Linked DNA regions of Tamandua tetradactyla. The protein of the gene in region 1 interacts with the protein of each later gene in a pairwise test. Links are inferred from orthologs where the notes say so. Each region holds a gene or a part of one and is shown on either strand. Other genes may lie near its edges.

Region 1 (7,140 bases):
GAATGTTGTATCACGGACATGTATTACCTCCCGGAAAATAAATAACTTGACTTGGAGACAGCAATTTCTGGGAAACTTCTGAGGTTCTAGGAATGTTTCGTATCACATTAGGCACATTATTATGTGTTATACGACAATAAAAAAGTTAAGGACAAATAGTAAAATCTACAAGTCCAGCACATATCTGGTCCAGTGTAAACGCCCACACATGAGCACCGGGTCCTGACCACATGTGAGACCTCAGCTCCGTGCTCAGCACCAAATACCTCCTGCACCCTGGCTCCACCCACTCTCTCTCCTCAGCTTAAACCTACTTGTCGGGAAAGATCTAACTAAGCGTCCAGAAACTCCTGACTCATCAAAGATGCAGGAATTTATCTGAAATGTGCACAGTCAGAAGGTAGAGACACAAAGAGATGGACAGTCAGTCTCTGCTGCCCCTTGGCAGGGAAATTTTAAAATAATAACCCCCAACCACTGAGTAAGGCCTGAAACAGATGTTCTTACACCAATGTTGATAGCAGCATTATTCACAGTTGCTGAAAGGTAGAAGCAACCCAAAACCCAAGTGTCCGTCTACAGATGAAAAGATCAGCAGAATGTGTTCTATCCATACAAGGGAACACTGTTCAGCCATAAAAAGGAATGACGTCCTGATACACACGACCACATGGCTGAACCCTGAAGACATCATTTTGAGCAAAATTAGCCAGACACAAAAGGGTAGATATCATATGATTTCACTTATGTGAAATAACTAGAATATGCAAATTCATAGAGACAGAAAGTAGACTCCAGGTTCCTGGGGCAAGGGTGGGGACCGAGGAGTCACTGCTTACTGGGTAGAGGGTTTCTGTCTGGGGCAATGGAAACATTTTGGTAATGGACGGTGGCGATGGTAGCACAACACTGCTAACGTAATTACCACTGATGGTATACTCGAGAGTGGTTAAAATGGGAAATTTTATGTTGAATACATGTCACCACAATAAAATTTTTTTTAGGAAGAAAGATAAAGTTTGATAGTTGTTCCATGCTCTTGAGTTAGCAGAGCATTTGCACGTGCATAATCCTATTTTGGCCATGGATGGACCTGTGATGTAGGAATATCTTCTACGTTTTTGAAGGGGAGGAAACTGGCTTAGAGCAGCTGGGAGTTACATATTAAGAGCCTGATAATTCAGAACAGAAAATTACTCCTTTGGGAAACAAGGAGATAAAAGCGGAGACCAAGATCAATGGTGAGACCTAAAGACAAGCAGTCTGAAAGGGCAAAGGGCAGACGAGGTGAAACAACTTCTAGAAAGTAGTTTAACTCCTCTGAGTCTCAGTATCCCCACCTATAAATAGGCTTAATGATATTTCCCAAACACTGATATAAAAAGCTGATAGGTGATAGCTTTCAGGGCCAACAGATTTTACATGACATTATTAATCCTCATGTCTACCTTTTAGTGGGTATTGATAGCTCAACTTTGGAAATAAAAACTCAGGTGCAGAGGGGTTATGTAACATGCCCAAGTCACAAGCTAGTAAGAGGGAAGATGGACAAACCTCGACTGATGCCAGGACCCACTGCCTTTTCCACCACACCAACCATACTCCTGGAGAAGGCTTCATGGAACAGGTGGGGTGGTCACTGGAACAGTCCATGGTAGAAAAGGAAGGGGGCAGGCATTCCACAAGGGGCAGCATCTGCAAAGGCCCAGAGGCAGCAGGCACAGAAGACACTTGAGGGGCAGTGCTGGACATGAGCTGAGCAGTGTGGCTTGAGCAAAGTTGGCCCGAGAGACTGGGACCCAGCTGCAGATAGCCTTCCCAGGCCAGGCCAGGGAGCCAAGGAAAGGTTCTGCAAGGGGGAGGCCATGCCAAGGTGCCTGAGTGTGAAAGGGATCAGGGACCAGAGACCCCATAAGAATCCTGTCTGTGGGGGTTGACAGCAAGGAGGGTGTGCAGCAGGGGAGGCAGTGCCAACAGAAAGGAAGGGGCAGATGTGAGTGTGAGAAGCATGGACCCACAGGACTGGGGGTGCTCAGCAATGCCCAAACTTACCAACACTCTCTAAGCAGGACTTCACTTAGAAAAGGCACAGCCTGCCCTGGCCCTGCCTGCCTTTCCTCCAATTTACTGGGCTTGAGGCATTCTGTCCTTTTGTTGTTTGTTTCCACATCAGTACCTGCCATTCCCTCGGCCCATGGCGGGAGCTTGACCTCCAATCACCACATGGCTGGCTGCCTCTTCTTCATCATCCAGGTCTCAGCTCAAAGGACACCTCCTTAAGAGAAATCCTCCCTGATCCCTGCAGCTAGTAATGCCCCTGGCAACCCCAGTCACTTGCAAGCACTAGAGCAGTTTCTTTTTTCTACATAATCCCTGTAAGGATCTAAAATTATTTTGTTGGGTTGATTGCTACATGGTGCCTCCTATTAGAAGGACATGAGAGCAGGAGCCGTCCGGGTCTTTGTCACTATTGCATTGCCAGCACCTAAGCAGGCCCTGGCACCTAACAGATGCTCAGTAGTCTCCTATTGAATGAATGATGTGAGAAATGGGAAAGTTCAGGGCAACTGAAAGGGAATGGAACCAAGGCCAGAGGTTGGGATGTGAAGGGGAAGTTGAGTGGGAGCAGGAACGCTTTTTCAGGTTTGCCTTTCAGGCTTATGTTTGAGACAATGTGGTTACCCAGGGCGCCAGCTCTCATGGGCAATGGTGAGAATAGACAGACATCTGTGAGGCAGGAGAAAAGGGGGCAGGGGGCATGAATGCGCTTAGGAGTCCTCACATCCTGGGGAGGGGGACACACTGGCACAGGAAGCAAACCCACAGAAGGTCCCACTCATGGTCACATACCTGCCCCTCCCTCCCAAACTTACGGAAGCCTGGGGACTTACGTAGACAGGGGACTTACCCACAGGACAGCATGTCCCTGGAGGGATGGAGGAGTCACAGGCAGTGGGCCGCAGGGGGTGGGGCCAAACCAGGGGCAAGCTAAGCACAGTGGCCCAGCCAGGAGAGGAAGTCGCTCAGAACTCAGCCACTTCCTCCTTAATCCCACCCGCCAGGCCAATGGCACTGCTAGGATAAGCCCCTGGACTAATGATCCCCGGAGAAGGGACAGGTGGGGCGGGGCTGGCCTCAGACCGCCCACAACAGCCCGCTTCCCCTCCAGCTCCACTCTACTGTCCCACAGGCCTGCCTGCCTATCCAGGGCCTCCTTCCCTTGGGAGGGAGGAGTCATCTGGCGCTCCACCTGACAGGACAGCAGGAAGGCAGGTGCCGGGAAACCAGGAAGTAGCCCTGGCAAAGGGAACGTCAACCAATGGCGGAAACTCACAATCCACAGAAAGCAATGAGGCGATGTAAAAGCCCTGGAAGTCTAATTCCTCAGAGAAGGAAGTGCCACCACAGTGCAGGCCCACCTGTCCTGGTGTCAAGGGTACCAGCCCATACTCTCACCCTGTGGGCGATGGGGAGGATTGAGGAGCCTGAGACCCTCACCTGCTCCAGGTGGGAGGCCAGCAGAGCACAGAGGAAGGATCTGGATGAGAAGATGTGGGGCAGCCTGGAACGGAAAGGGAATCAGGGGACAGGAGGTGGAGATTGTCAGGATCACAAAAGACTGACGCAGAGGCCAAGACACAGGCACGTTTATTATCCTCTGGAAACACCAAGGCCTTCCCTTCCCAGACAGCAGCACTGGGCAACAGGAAAGGACCAACCCCCTCAGGAGGCAGCGATGCTGCCACCAGAAGCAGGCCCGTGGGGCGGCAGTGTCATGGGCGGCAGGAACAGAGCCTTCAGCTTGCCTGACAGGCTGGCAATTTCAGGATCCTGGGCTTCATAGGACTTGACCAAGCGAGCAAACTTAAGGACACCTGCAAGAGGGAGTGGAGAGTTAGCTCACGCCTGGGAGGGCTGGACCAAGACGGCAGGAGGGGGCAGTTTGAACATGCCTCATAGGTTGCTCCCCCACTACCAGGGAGCTGTCTGAAAAACAGGACACCAGCTGGCCTCTATCCTGTGTGGTTTGGATCAACCACTTCCTGGTCTACACTGGGCACAACCAGTTGGGAATACAGTGAATGAAACAATCCCAAAGTAAAGTGCTCCTCGCTCTCAGGTGAACCATTTTAACAGTTAAGTCACAAGAGCCCTAGTATGAACGTCCACAAGATCCCAGGTCTGTTACCAACACAGGAGATCACAGGACAGCTGGGATTGAATCACACAAATCCCCAAAAAGATATTAGCTGAAACACTGTGACGGGGGCGCCAAACATCTTGTGGTTGTCACACTAAACTGCTAGAAGTCCAGTTCTGCTGCGACTCTGGGCATTTACTTTACAGATAGAGTCTGTTTCTTAATCTTACAATGGGATAATATAATGTTTAACAGGTAACCACAAAATGGACTTCAGACTTGGGTTGGCACAATTTGAGGTTAGATCCTTGGCGTCAACACTGCTGGGTTGTGGCCGCCGCCCTGTGGCGAAAAGGGGCACGACGGCAAAGGGGCACGAGCGCCCCACCACCCCTCTCCCCGACCCACCCCCATACCCCGTCTACCCACCTTCCCCGTCGCAGCTAAAACCATAAGCCTTGATGACCTCTTGCTGGATCTGCGTAGCCACGGGCAGCACAAATTGCAGCATCTTGCCCATGTCGTTGCACGCGTTGTCCCTAGCTTCGTCCATACGTACAGCGTTCTCCGGGGCCGAGAACGCCTGGATCACCTCGGCTAGAACCACTGTGCGCCAGGGCCATCCAGGGAAGAGCCCGAAGGAGGCGGTGGACCACCGTGGGTGGGTCCGGACAAGAGAGCAGGAAAATGCGCCAGGAATTAGTGGGCCGAGGCCATCGGCAGCCCACCCGATAAACTCGGCCCCTAATCCCTACCTTCAGGGGGCAGGACCCCACTCAGGAGCAGGAGACAGCACCCCGCGACAGCTCCATCCTCTCTCCTCCCATCCTTCCCTCCTACCCCCGACGATGACAGCCACTATTGTCTCCCGATCCTGCACCCTCATCCTCCCAACAGCAGATGGTCTACACGAGTAACTGGGAATGCTTCCTCACCCTTCGCCTGTTCGGCGCTCAGGGGTGCGGTTTGGGCCGAAGCAGCCGCCATACGGACGAATTGCTACGGATATAACGTAGCGAGGGAAGGAGCGGGAAGTAGGAGCCGACTCCGAAAGCTGTTCCGTGGCCAGAGGTGGTTTGAGAAAAACTCAACCTACTGCAACCGGAAGTTACTCTCGCATAACCTTTAACACTCCACGGCGGGATATGTAAGACCACCACACAAACACTACGGAACCCACAACCAAACAACCGAATTTCTGTAAACCTAGCTCTATTATTTCGAACAAAAACGAGGGTTTTCCGGCTAAAGCCAGAAAACCTACTAGACAAATTCTAAAAGAGCTGCAACACCGATAACGTGTGTCCTGGAGAGAATAGGAATACCTTCGGACTCCACTGTTGATGAGGGTGAATTCGGAGCAGAATTGTTTATTTATTCCTAGTTCTCATTAATATATAATCCGCGAGACATATTGGCACTCCCATGAAAAAAAAGCAGTATTCTGAGGAACTTATTTAAATCGTTCATTTCTAGAGTTTGTGAACGGTTTTCCCGAGCCTATGCAAATGAACCGACACTGATTGGCTGAGAGAACAGCCAGTCACACCCCAACCCTGAATATTTTTAAGAATGAAGACATCGATTTGGCTCAATAAAAGCCTGGAGTAAGCGCAGTTTTTGCATTTCCCTAAAAAGGCTTTGTGCAGGAATAGGTGCTGCAGCGTGACGCGTTTACTTACCTTCAAGGCTTTTCAAATTGCCAGCCTCTCCTTCTTCAAATCCAAGGGTAATTAAAGCTTCGGGGTTCTTGACCTATTTGAGATTAAGCTCACCTCATCCCTATAATCATTTCTCCAACTATTCCATGGAAAGGATGCAGGATTCTGAAATCTTTGTTCCAGAGGATTTTGGGGGGTTGCAGCTGTGGGACCAGAGTAGTTTTCTAGCCAAGCCACGTCAGAGGTTGGCCCATTCCAGGCCTCTAATAAGTGTCTTCCCCAAGCTTGGGGGAAGAGGGAGCGAGCACTGAGTGGGGAGTGGCACCCCCCCAACGAACCCATTAGTCTTCCAAGATCCCCTCTCCAATTCGGGGTCCCCACACCCAGTTCCCTCAAAAGGTTCGTCTGTTCCCACTTGCTGCCAGCCTCTCCAGGCACCGCAGCAGTATACCGCACCACCAGCCCCCAAAGCCCGCAAAGAACCAGTCGCAGCCATCTTCCTCGAGAGTCGTGAGGATATTTTTGTTTGCTTGGTTTTGGTTGGGATGTGTTTTAAAGAGCGTCATATAGATATTTATATATATAAATTATTAATATGGGGAGGGACGAGGGGGATACATCGCAGGGGGCGCGCGCACACGGGGATTGGGCGGGGCGGCACACGATGCTACTCAAAACAGCCACGTCTAACAGATGAAATAATCACACCAACGGGATGGGGAGGGGCCGTGGCCCGGGGGTTTGGGTATGGGGGAGAAGGAAAGCAGGGGATAAAGAAGAGGGTCCTGGTCCAAGATACTGTGCGCTTTCTGCCCCCACCCTGGCCACCTCCCCACACATTCCCTCCCTCTGCCCAACCACGGAGGTCCTGCAACTGAGCAGCACTCTCTCCTGGGCTCTGGGTGGCAGGCTGAGGGGGGGCCTCCAAGGTCCAGATGCAAGGGCCGTGGTACTCTCTTGGTCACAGATTCTACAGTGGCTTGTCACTTTCCTTCTTCAGGTGACTGGGGATGGGGGTAAAAGCAGTGAGTAGAGACTCCAGTTGACCCTGACCTGACCCCTCCTTGCCCAAGTTCCCTACCCCAGCATGCCTACACCCATCTCCAGGCTGGCTGAGCCCACTTGCCCTCCCTCCTGGTTCAGGTGCCCTATACCTGTAGTAGTCCTCCTGGGCAGGTAGCGGCACACTGTGCAGCGGGTGATGGGCATGCAGCCACTGCTGCTGCTCCAGTGCCAGGCGCTGCAGCTCCGCAGACTGCGCGTGCATGGCCTGCAGCTGGTGAGCTGCTGACATCGGGGCAGAGAGGGAGGCTGGCAAGTCCCGGTAGGGGGCAGCTG
Region 2 (8,102 bases), on another chromosome or scaffold:
GAAAATAGTTGTCTGCTAACTTCTTTTTTAAATAAACTCTTCATCTTAGAACTATTGTAGATGTGCAGAAAAGTTACTAAGACAAAGTAGGGAGTTCCTATATATCTTACAACCAGCTTCCATTAGCCTGGGCATAACCATATTATGCAACCACGTAACCATACACAACAAGTGTACATAACCATGGTACACATGTCAAAACAGTACGTGATAGATAGATAGATGATAGATAGATAGATAGATATGGATATTAAGAAATTTATTATATCAATTGGCTCATGCAATCATAGGGATAGGTAAGCTCAACTTGCAGGCTGCAGGTTGGAAACTCAATGAAAGGGATATTGAATTCCTCAGGAGAAAACTATCTATCTAGATTAGAAATAAAAATTCTTCTTTCTGACTGCTAAAATCCTCACTTCTCCTTTTAAGATCTCCAGTTGATTGGATGAGACTTCTCTCTTTGCTGAAGGCCCATCTACTTTGTTGATTGTAGATGTCATCAGACGTAGAGGCAAGCAACTGGGCTAGTGATTTAAATCCACAAAATACCCTCGCAGTAACAGCAGGCCAGTGCTTGACCAAACAACTGGACTCTATAACCCAGCCAAGTTGATACATGAAATTAACTATCAAAATCCGTTTTTTCATGAATGTCCTTTTCCTGTCTCAGGATCCAGATCAGAGTACCACATTGCATTTAGTTCTCTTCCTTCTAAATGCATAGAACAACTCTTATTTTCTTGGTTGAATGCTGACTGGTAGTACCATCATACTTTAAATATTGTGTGTAGTTTCTGATGCAGGAAGGACTTGGGGACATACTGTATGCTGACTACCTTAAGGCAGAGGGCAGACTCAACATTTATTTGTTTCAACACAAACGAAGGTCAGAGGGACCACTGGGACAGCTACTCTGGGTTTTCCCTTAAGAGAGTTGTGATGATTAATTCTATGTGTCATACTTGCTAGGTTATTATATCCAGATGTTGGGTCAAAACACAGCCTAGATGTTGCTTTAAGGAATTTTGCAGCTATGATCAACATCTGCAATCAGTTGACTCTAAGTAAAGGAGTTGACCCTTGTTGATGTGAATGGGCCTTATCTACTCAGTTGGAATTCTACCTGAAGATGAAACCCTCTACTCCTCTCAGAGTTTCCAGCCTGCTGGCCTCCCCCATGGATTCCAGACTCAAGGCTGCAACACCAAATCTTACTGGAATTTCTTGCCTGTCAGCCTGGCCTACAGATTTAGGACTTGCTAACCCTCACAACTGTGTAAGCCAATTCCTTAAGAATAAATCATACATATGTGTAATTTCTTGTAGGTTGTGTTTCTCTGGAGAACTCTCATGGATACAGATGTGATTGTGGAGATGTCCCTTCTCCAGTGTTCTCAGAAGGTGCATTCTTTAAAGACCTTCATCTCCAAGCAGGAGGACATTCACACCCAAGGCATCTTAGTGCCATATCAGGAAAACACTTCACCTAGGGTAGGCATGGGGCACCTTTCTCGAACAAAAATTTTACTTGAAGTGTGGCACAAGAATGGAATAATCATTTTCTTAGTAGACTCTGACACATAAATAATATTTCAAATTAAATAAAAACTGAATGTCAACCATAAAGACAAAATCTGCATAAATAAAATGACATAAATTGAGACATGAGATTTTATTAAAAGATGAGGCTTGTGCTGGTTTGAAAAGATGTATGTACCTTAGAAAAACCATGTTTTAATCTTAATCTCAATTTGTAAAGGCAGTCGTTTCTTCTAATCCCTATTCAGTACTACATGTTTGAAACCTTAATTAGATTATCTCCCTGGAGATGTGACTCAGTCAAGAGTGGTTGTTAAATAGGATTAGGTGGAGATGTGTCTCCACCCATTCTAGGTGGGTCTTGATTACTTTACTGGAATCCTATAAAAGAGGAAAAATTTTGGAGAAGGCTTAAGAACCTGAGAGAGCAGAGAGTGCCACAGCACCATGAAGCAGAAAGTCCACCAGTCAGCGACTTTTGGAGGTGAAGCAGGAAAATGCCTCCTGGGGAGCTGGAGAGGAAGCTAACAGATGACACCATGCTTGCCATGTGCCCTTCCAGCCGAGAGAAAAACTTGACTGTGTTCACCATGTGCCTTTCCAGAGAGAGAGAAACCCTGAACTTCATTGACTTTCTTGAACGAAGGTATCTTTTCCTGGATGCCATAGATTGGACATTTCTATAGACTTCCTTTACTTGGGACATTTTCTCAGCCTTAGAACTGTAAACTAGCAACTTATTAAATTCCCCTTTTAAAAAGCCATTCCGTTTCTGGTATATTGCATTCTGGCAGCTAACAAACTAGAACAAGCCTGCATTAGAATATTCCAAAATTCAAGTAGTATTCCAGCATGGCCACTGCAGGCTGACCAAGCCCTCCTGAGACTGTGAGGCAACATCCACCCACATCTGAGATTTCATGGACAGACGGGAGAACTTGACCTAAATCCTGGTCCTAACCCCCATGTCTTTCCTTCATTATACAGATTATCTAATTAGATCCCAAAGACTCCAGTTTTTTAATATGCCCAGTTTGGTTCAGCCAGAGAAGAGTGTCGGGGTGGGGGAGGGGGGCGGTATCCAGAAAGCCATACGAACCCAGAGTATTCCAGGGTCTCCTCTTTCCAGAAGACTCAAGTGCAAAGCCCTCTCTGAGTCATCCGCTTTAGCCCACCTTTATGAGCACCACCATTTCGGTCTGGGAAAACCCTTTGTGTTCAGCCAATAAAGTAACCTAAGGGTGCTGGGAAGAAGGGATCAACTCACTATTTATGCCAAGATCTTCTGGCCCAGATGAAACCATGGAAGAAAATACTCATGATGGGTGATTCATCTCCGTATGAATCCAACTAAGCCTGGACCATGGATGAGCTCAGCTTCCTGTGGGCTCTGACCTCCAGCCCTCTGCTATGATCTTCAGGCCAAGATTTTCCAACATGACCCTCTTCTCCCTTCCATGGCAAGACTTACCAAGAATAGCGGGTGATGAATGTGGGAGGCACAAAACTGCATCTGCTGCATAGGAAGGAGGAGCCCAGTAAAACTGAAAAATGCACAGGATGTGGCGGCCAGCAACCAGCACCACAGTTCAAATGGTTCACAAGCTGGCAACCACATAGGAAAATGAGCAGTTTCTTCCTACTTCTCATCTTCTTCGGGTTGGTGCTGAAGAAGGAACATAGCATCCTAGAATTTTTTTACATGAGACCCAAAGTTATAATATTTGGCATGAATCATGGTTCTGTCCCAATCTCCATATCCAAAGTGGTCACAGTTTGGTTTTACCAAATGCTAAACTCATCGAGGCTTTTTAAAAATTTACCTTGATCCGTCTCTTAACTACAAGGTCTACTTACTATAATGTACACTATTCTTTTACCAACTAAATATGTTAGCATGTTATTCTTGTAAAAACGCTTGGAGCATATATTCAAATGATTATTACAACTAGAATTTTGACTCAGTACCACTCATAAAATGATAAGCATTCCTTCATGAAGGTCCTCCAGTTATCAATAATATCTTGGAATTCCACTCAACTAGCAAAGCATGACACATGTAAAAGGTGTTTCTTTTTGGTTTTTAAAAAGGGAAGTTTAATAAGTTGCTAGTTTACAGTTCTAAGGCTGAGAAAATGTCCTAATGAAACATGTTTATAGATATGTCCAATCTAAGGCATCCAGGGAAAGATGTTTTGGTTCAAGAAGGCCAATGAAGTTCAGAGTTTCTCTCTCAAGTGAGAAGGCTCATGGCGAGAACAGTCAGTTTCTCTTTAGGCTGGAAGGGCACATGGCGAACCAGGCATCATCTGCTGGCTTTCTCATCCTGCTGGCTTCCTGTTTCGTGAAGCTCACCGGGAAGAGTTTTCTTTCTTCATCCCCAAAGGTTGCTGGCTTGTGGGCTCTCTACTCCTCACAGCTATGTCGTTCTGCTCTCTCTGAATCTCTCATTCTCCAAAATGTTTCCTCTTTTATAGGACTCCAGTAAACCAATCAAGACCCATCCAAATGGGTGGAGATGCATCTCCCCTAATCCAGTTTAACAAACACTCTTGATTGGGTTACATCTCCAGGGGGATGATCTAATTACATGCAATATTGAATAGGGATTATTCTGCCTCTACAAAATGGGATTTTTTTTTTCAAAAGGTGTTTCTTGAGGGGGCTATCTAAATACTCATGATTAATGTTCCAAATTAATATTCTTCCCCTCCCCATCACTCTCTCTCTCTCTCTCTCTCTTTTCTCCCTCTTTCTTGTTCTTGTTTTGCTTAAAGAATAGATAGCCCTATAACCCTAAGCCCTTGGATTACTACAAATTTCAATTTCCTTAATATTAGACTTAGTGAAACGCTGGAGCCAGCCCACACCAGCTCCTGCACACTAGTGATGACACCTCTTCCCAAATCCACGTTCAGCGACGCCACGTTGGTAACTTGAAATTGGTCATGGCATGAACATTTATACCATGGAAACTGGCAAACACTACAATTCAGGTATTTTCCTTCAGAGAGATGATTATTAAACATTTGCCAGCATACCACTGGCTACATTAAATCATACTCCCAGAGGCCATTTAAGAGGAAATTAAACAGCACATGTAAAAAGAGAAACCATATCTATTTCTGTGGTTGACCCCATCTTGACCCTGCCCTTCCTCCCCTGAAGTAACAAAACTCCTAAATCTTTTCAAATTTCCCTTGCATTTTTGTAAATATAGTTTCATAAAAAAAAATCTATCTGTGTGTGTATATATGTAAATTGCCATTTTTTAACTTTATGGTTGCAATTTTTAAATTTTTGTTGTGTGTGGTAGTTAAATTCAGGTGTCAACTTGGCCAGGTGAAGGCACCTAGTTTTGTTGCTGTGGACATGAGCCAATGGTACATGAACCTCATCTGTCGCTGATCACATCTGCAGTGGGCTAGGAGGCGTGTCTGCTGCAATGAATGATGTTTGAGTTAATTGGCTGGTGCTTAAATGAGAGAGCTCAAGGTAGCACAGCCCAGGCAGCTCAGCATACCTCATCTCAGCAACTCGCAGCTCAGCCCAGGCCTTTGGAGGTACAGAAAGAAATCACCCCGGGGAGAGTTGTTGGAACCCAAAGGCCTGGAGAGAAGGCCAGCAGAGACCACCTGTGCCTTCCTGCATAAGCAAGAAACACAGTTGAAAGTGAGCTGCCTTTCCTCTGAAGAACTAATGAAATAAATTTCTTTTTATTAAAAGCCAATCCATCTCTGATGTGTTGCATTCCAGCAGCTAGCAAATTAGAACACTGTATAATATAATATAGATACAAAGCAAAGAAAGAAAAAAGCAGTAGTTTTTAAAGCACTCTTCGACAAGTAGTTACAGGACAGATCCTATTGTCTCTCATGGGTTACCATAACATCTTCTCAGATTTTTCCTTCTAGCTGCTCCAGAACATTGGAGGCTAGAAGGAATAAATATTTTTTTATCATCACAATCGATGTTTTTTTTCTTTTTCTCTATGAAAAATAACGTACATATACAAAAAGCAATAAAATTCAAAGCAAATCACCACATTCATTGTAGAACAGACTTCAGAATTTGGTATGGGTGACAATTCCACAATTGTAGGTTTTTACTTCTAGCTGCTCTAAGATACTGGAGACTAAAAGAGACATCAATATAATGATTCAACAATCATACTCATTTGTTAAACCCTGCCTTCCCTGTATAACTCCACCATCACCTTTGAACTGGTGACAATAATTTTTTAATCTCATCAAATCTACAGTGAGAATGCATCAACATTTTACTAATTCATTAATGATGAGGAAATCATTTTAAAAATCCTACATTTATCCAAATAGCGACCTTTTCCAGTTCATTCCTCCATGCATTTCTTTGTTTCCATTGGGACTTTTTTTTTTTTGCCTGAGCATTTTATTTTTTGGTACCCATCTGTTGGTAATGCATACAATCAGTTTTTCATTGTCTGAAAATGTCTTTGTTTCACCTTCAATCTTGAAGAGCATTTTCTCTTGTTCTACAGTCTAGATTGGCAATTTTCTTCCAGTATTCCATTGTTATCAGAATCCATCATTTCTGTTGCGAATAAGCCATCAACGTTATTGTTGCCCCTTTCAAAATAATGTGTTCTTTTTATTTCAATACTTTTAAGATTTCCTCTTGGTCTTCGGGTTTTAGCAGTTTTACGATGGTGAATCTCAGCAGGTATATGTGCGTGCTTACTTTTATTGAAGGAAATACACAAAAAGTGCACATACGACGTGCAACACTTGATAGATTTTCACAAATTAAGCCCATCCACATTACCACCAACCTGATTAATAAAGAGAATTAGCTCCTTAGAAGCCTCTTCATTCTGCTTTCCAGGAACTTCTCTCTAAGGGAAATGGCTCTTCATAGAGATCTGGAAATGCTCTTATCTCCTGTGCCTGCCTGGCTTGTTTTGCTCAACCAGATATTTGTCAGATTTGTCCATAATAGTGCATGTAGCTGTAAATGATCAATTTTCATCAATCTGTTCATATTCAGTTGTTTGAATAACCACAGTTCATTTATCCATTCCAGTGTTCATAATCATTTTCTAGTTTAGAGTTTAGGCTATATGGATAGCACCCCTTGAGCATTTTAGTACACATCTGTGCATTTATGCTGGTATTGGCCTAGGGCTGGAATTGCCATGTCTCAGGGTACATATTCTGTCCAACTTTAGTAGGCGCTGCCAAACGCTTTTCAAAGCAGTCCTACCAACTCACACTCCCACCCAGTGCATTTGAATGCTGACCTTGCCCCGCACTCACCAGCTCTTTTTATTTTAGCCACACTTTCCTGTATAGTGATATCTCACTGCAGTTTTAGTTTGCAAGTCTCAGATAACTAATACAGTTAAGAACATTTTCATATGGCTTTTTAAAGTTTTTTATTGTGAAATACAATATGTATACAAAAAAGCCATAAATTTCCAAGTACATTTTAATAAGCAGCTATGGAGCAGTTTGGTATGTGTTCTAGTTTGCTAGCTGCTGGAATGCAATATACCAGGAATGGAATGGCTTTTAAAAGGGGGAATTTAATAAGTTGCTATTTATAGTTCTAAGGCGGAGAAACTGTCCCAATTAAAACAAGTCTATAGAAATGTCTGATCTAAGACATCCACAGAAAGATACCTTGGTTCAAGAAGGCCAATGAAGTTCAGGGTTTCTCTCTCAAGTGGAAGGGCACATGGTGAATACAGTCAGGGTTGCTCTCCCAGCTGGAAGGGCACATGTGAACATGGCGTCATCTCCTCCCTTCCTCTCCAGCTCCCCGGGAGGCATTTTCCTTTTTCTTCTCCAAAAGTCACTGGCTGATGGACTCTCTGCTTCGTGGTTCTGTGGCATTCTCTGCTTTCTCAGATTCTCAAGCTTTCTCCAAAATGTTTCCTCTTTTATAGGATTCCCATAAACTAATCAAGACCCACCCAAATGGGTGGAGACATGTCTCCACCTAATCCAGCTCAACAACCACTCTTGATTGAGTCACATCTCCAGGGAGAGGATCTAATTAAGGTTTCAAATATATAGTAACTGAATAGGCATTAGAAGAAACGGCTGGTCTTACAAAATAGCATTAGAATTAAAACATGGCTTTTCTAAGGTATATACACCCTTTCAAACCAGCACAATATACGATACAGTTCCATGAATTTTAATTTTTTCTTCTAGCTACTCCAAGACACTGGAGACTAGCAGAAATGCCAATATAATGACTCAACAGTCATACTCATTTGTTAAATCCCATCTTCTCTGTTATACTCCTCCTTCTCTTTAAATAACATATTCTTACGGTTTTGATCACTTGAATATCCTTTTTATTTTTTGTGAAGTGTCTATTCAAGTCTTTTTCTCATTTCTTCACTTAAAAAAATTGGATTAAATTTTTAAAATTTAAAAAATGCTTGTGCATGAGGAAGAACAAAGGAATGTCATTACTGCAGGGTACTGAAAATAGATGGTAATTAATATTTAAAAATTTCAATTTATGTGTTAGACTAAAGCAAAAAATATTTATTTGGTACAAAATTTAAA

Evidence for each region.
Region 2: the proteins of PTPN6 (region 1) and leukocyte-associated immunoglobulin-like receptor 1 interact in binary tests that used the Homo sapiens proteins (3 or more experiments, as listed by UniProt). The link is inferred for Tamandua tetradactyla from reciprocal best matches to the Homo sapiens genes PTPN6 and LAIR1.

Annotation. Positions count from the first base shown.
Region 1 is NC_135333.1:69,241,320-69,248,459, reverse strand, and holds the start of PTPN6 (tyrosine-protein phosphatase non-receptor type 6), read right to left. Parts: upstream 3,148-7,140; 5' UTR 2,923-3,147; coding exon 2,909-2,922; intron 1-2,908. Other genes in the region: C7H12orf57 (protein C10), read right to left, coding at 3,724-3,875, 4,571-4,747, 5,077-5,128; ATN1 (atrophin-1), read right to left, coding at 6,773-6,806, 6,957-7,137. UniProt on the Homo sapiens protein: Tyrosine phosphatase enzyme that plays important roles in controlling immune signaling pathways and fundamental physiological processes such as hematopoiesis.
Region 2 is NC_135342.1:5,118,258-5,126,359, reverse strand, and holds the start of leukocyte-associated immunoglobulin-like receptor 1, read right to left. Parts: upstream 3,062-8,102; 5' UTR 3,056-3,061; coding exon of another isoform or gene 3,014-3,055; intron 3,004-3,013; exon of another isoform or gene 2,810-3,003; intron 1-2,809. UniProt on the Homo sapiens protein: Functions as an inhibitory receptor that plays a constitutive negative regulatory role on cytolytic function of natural killer (NK) cells, B-cells and T-cells.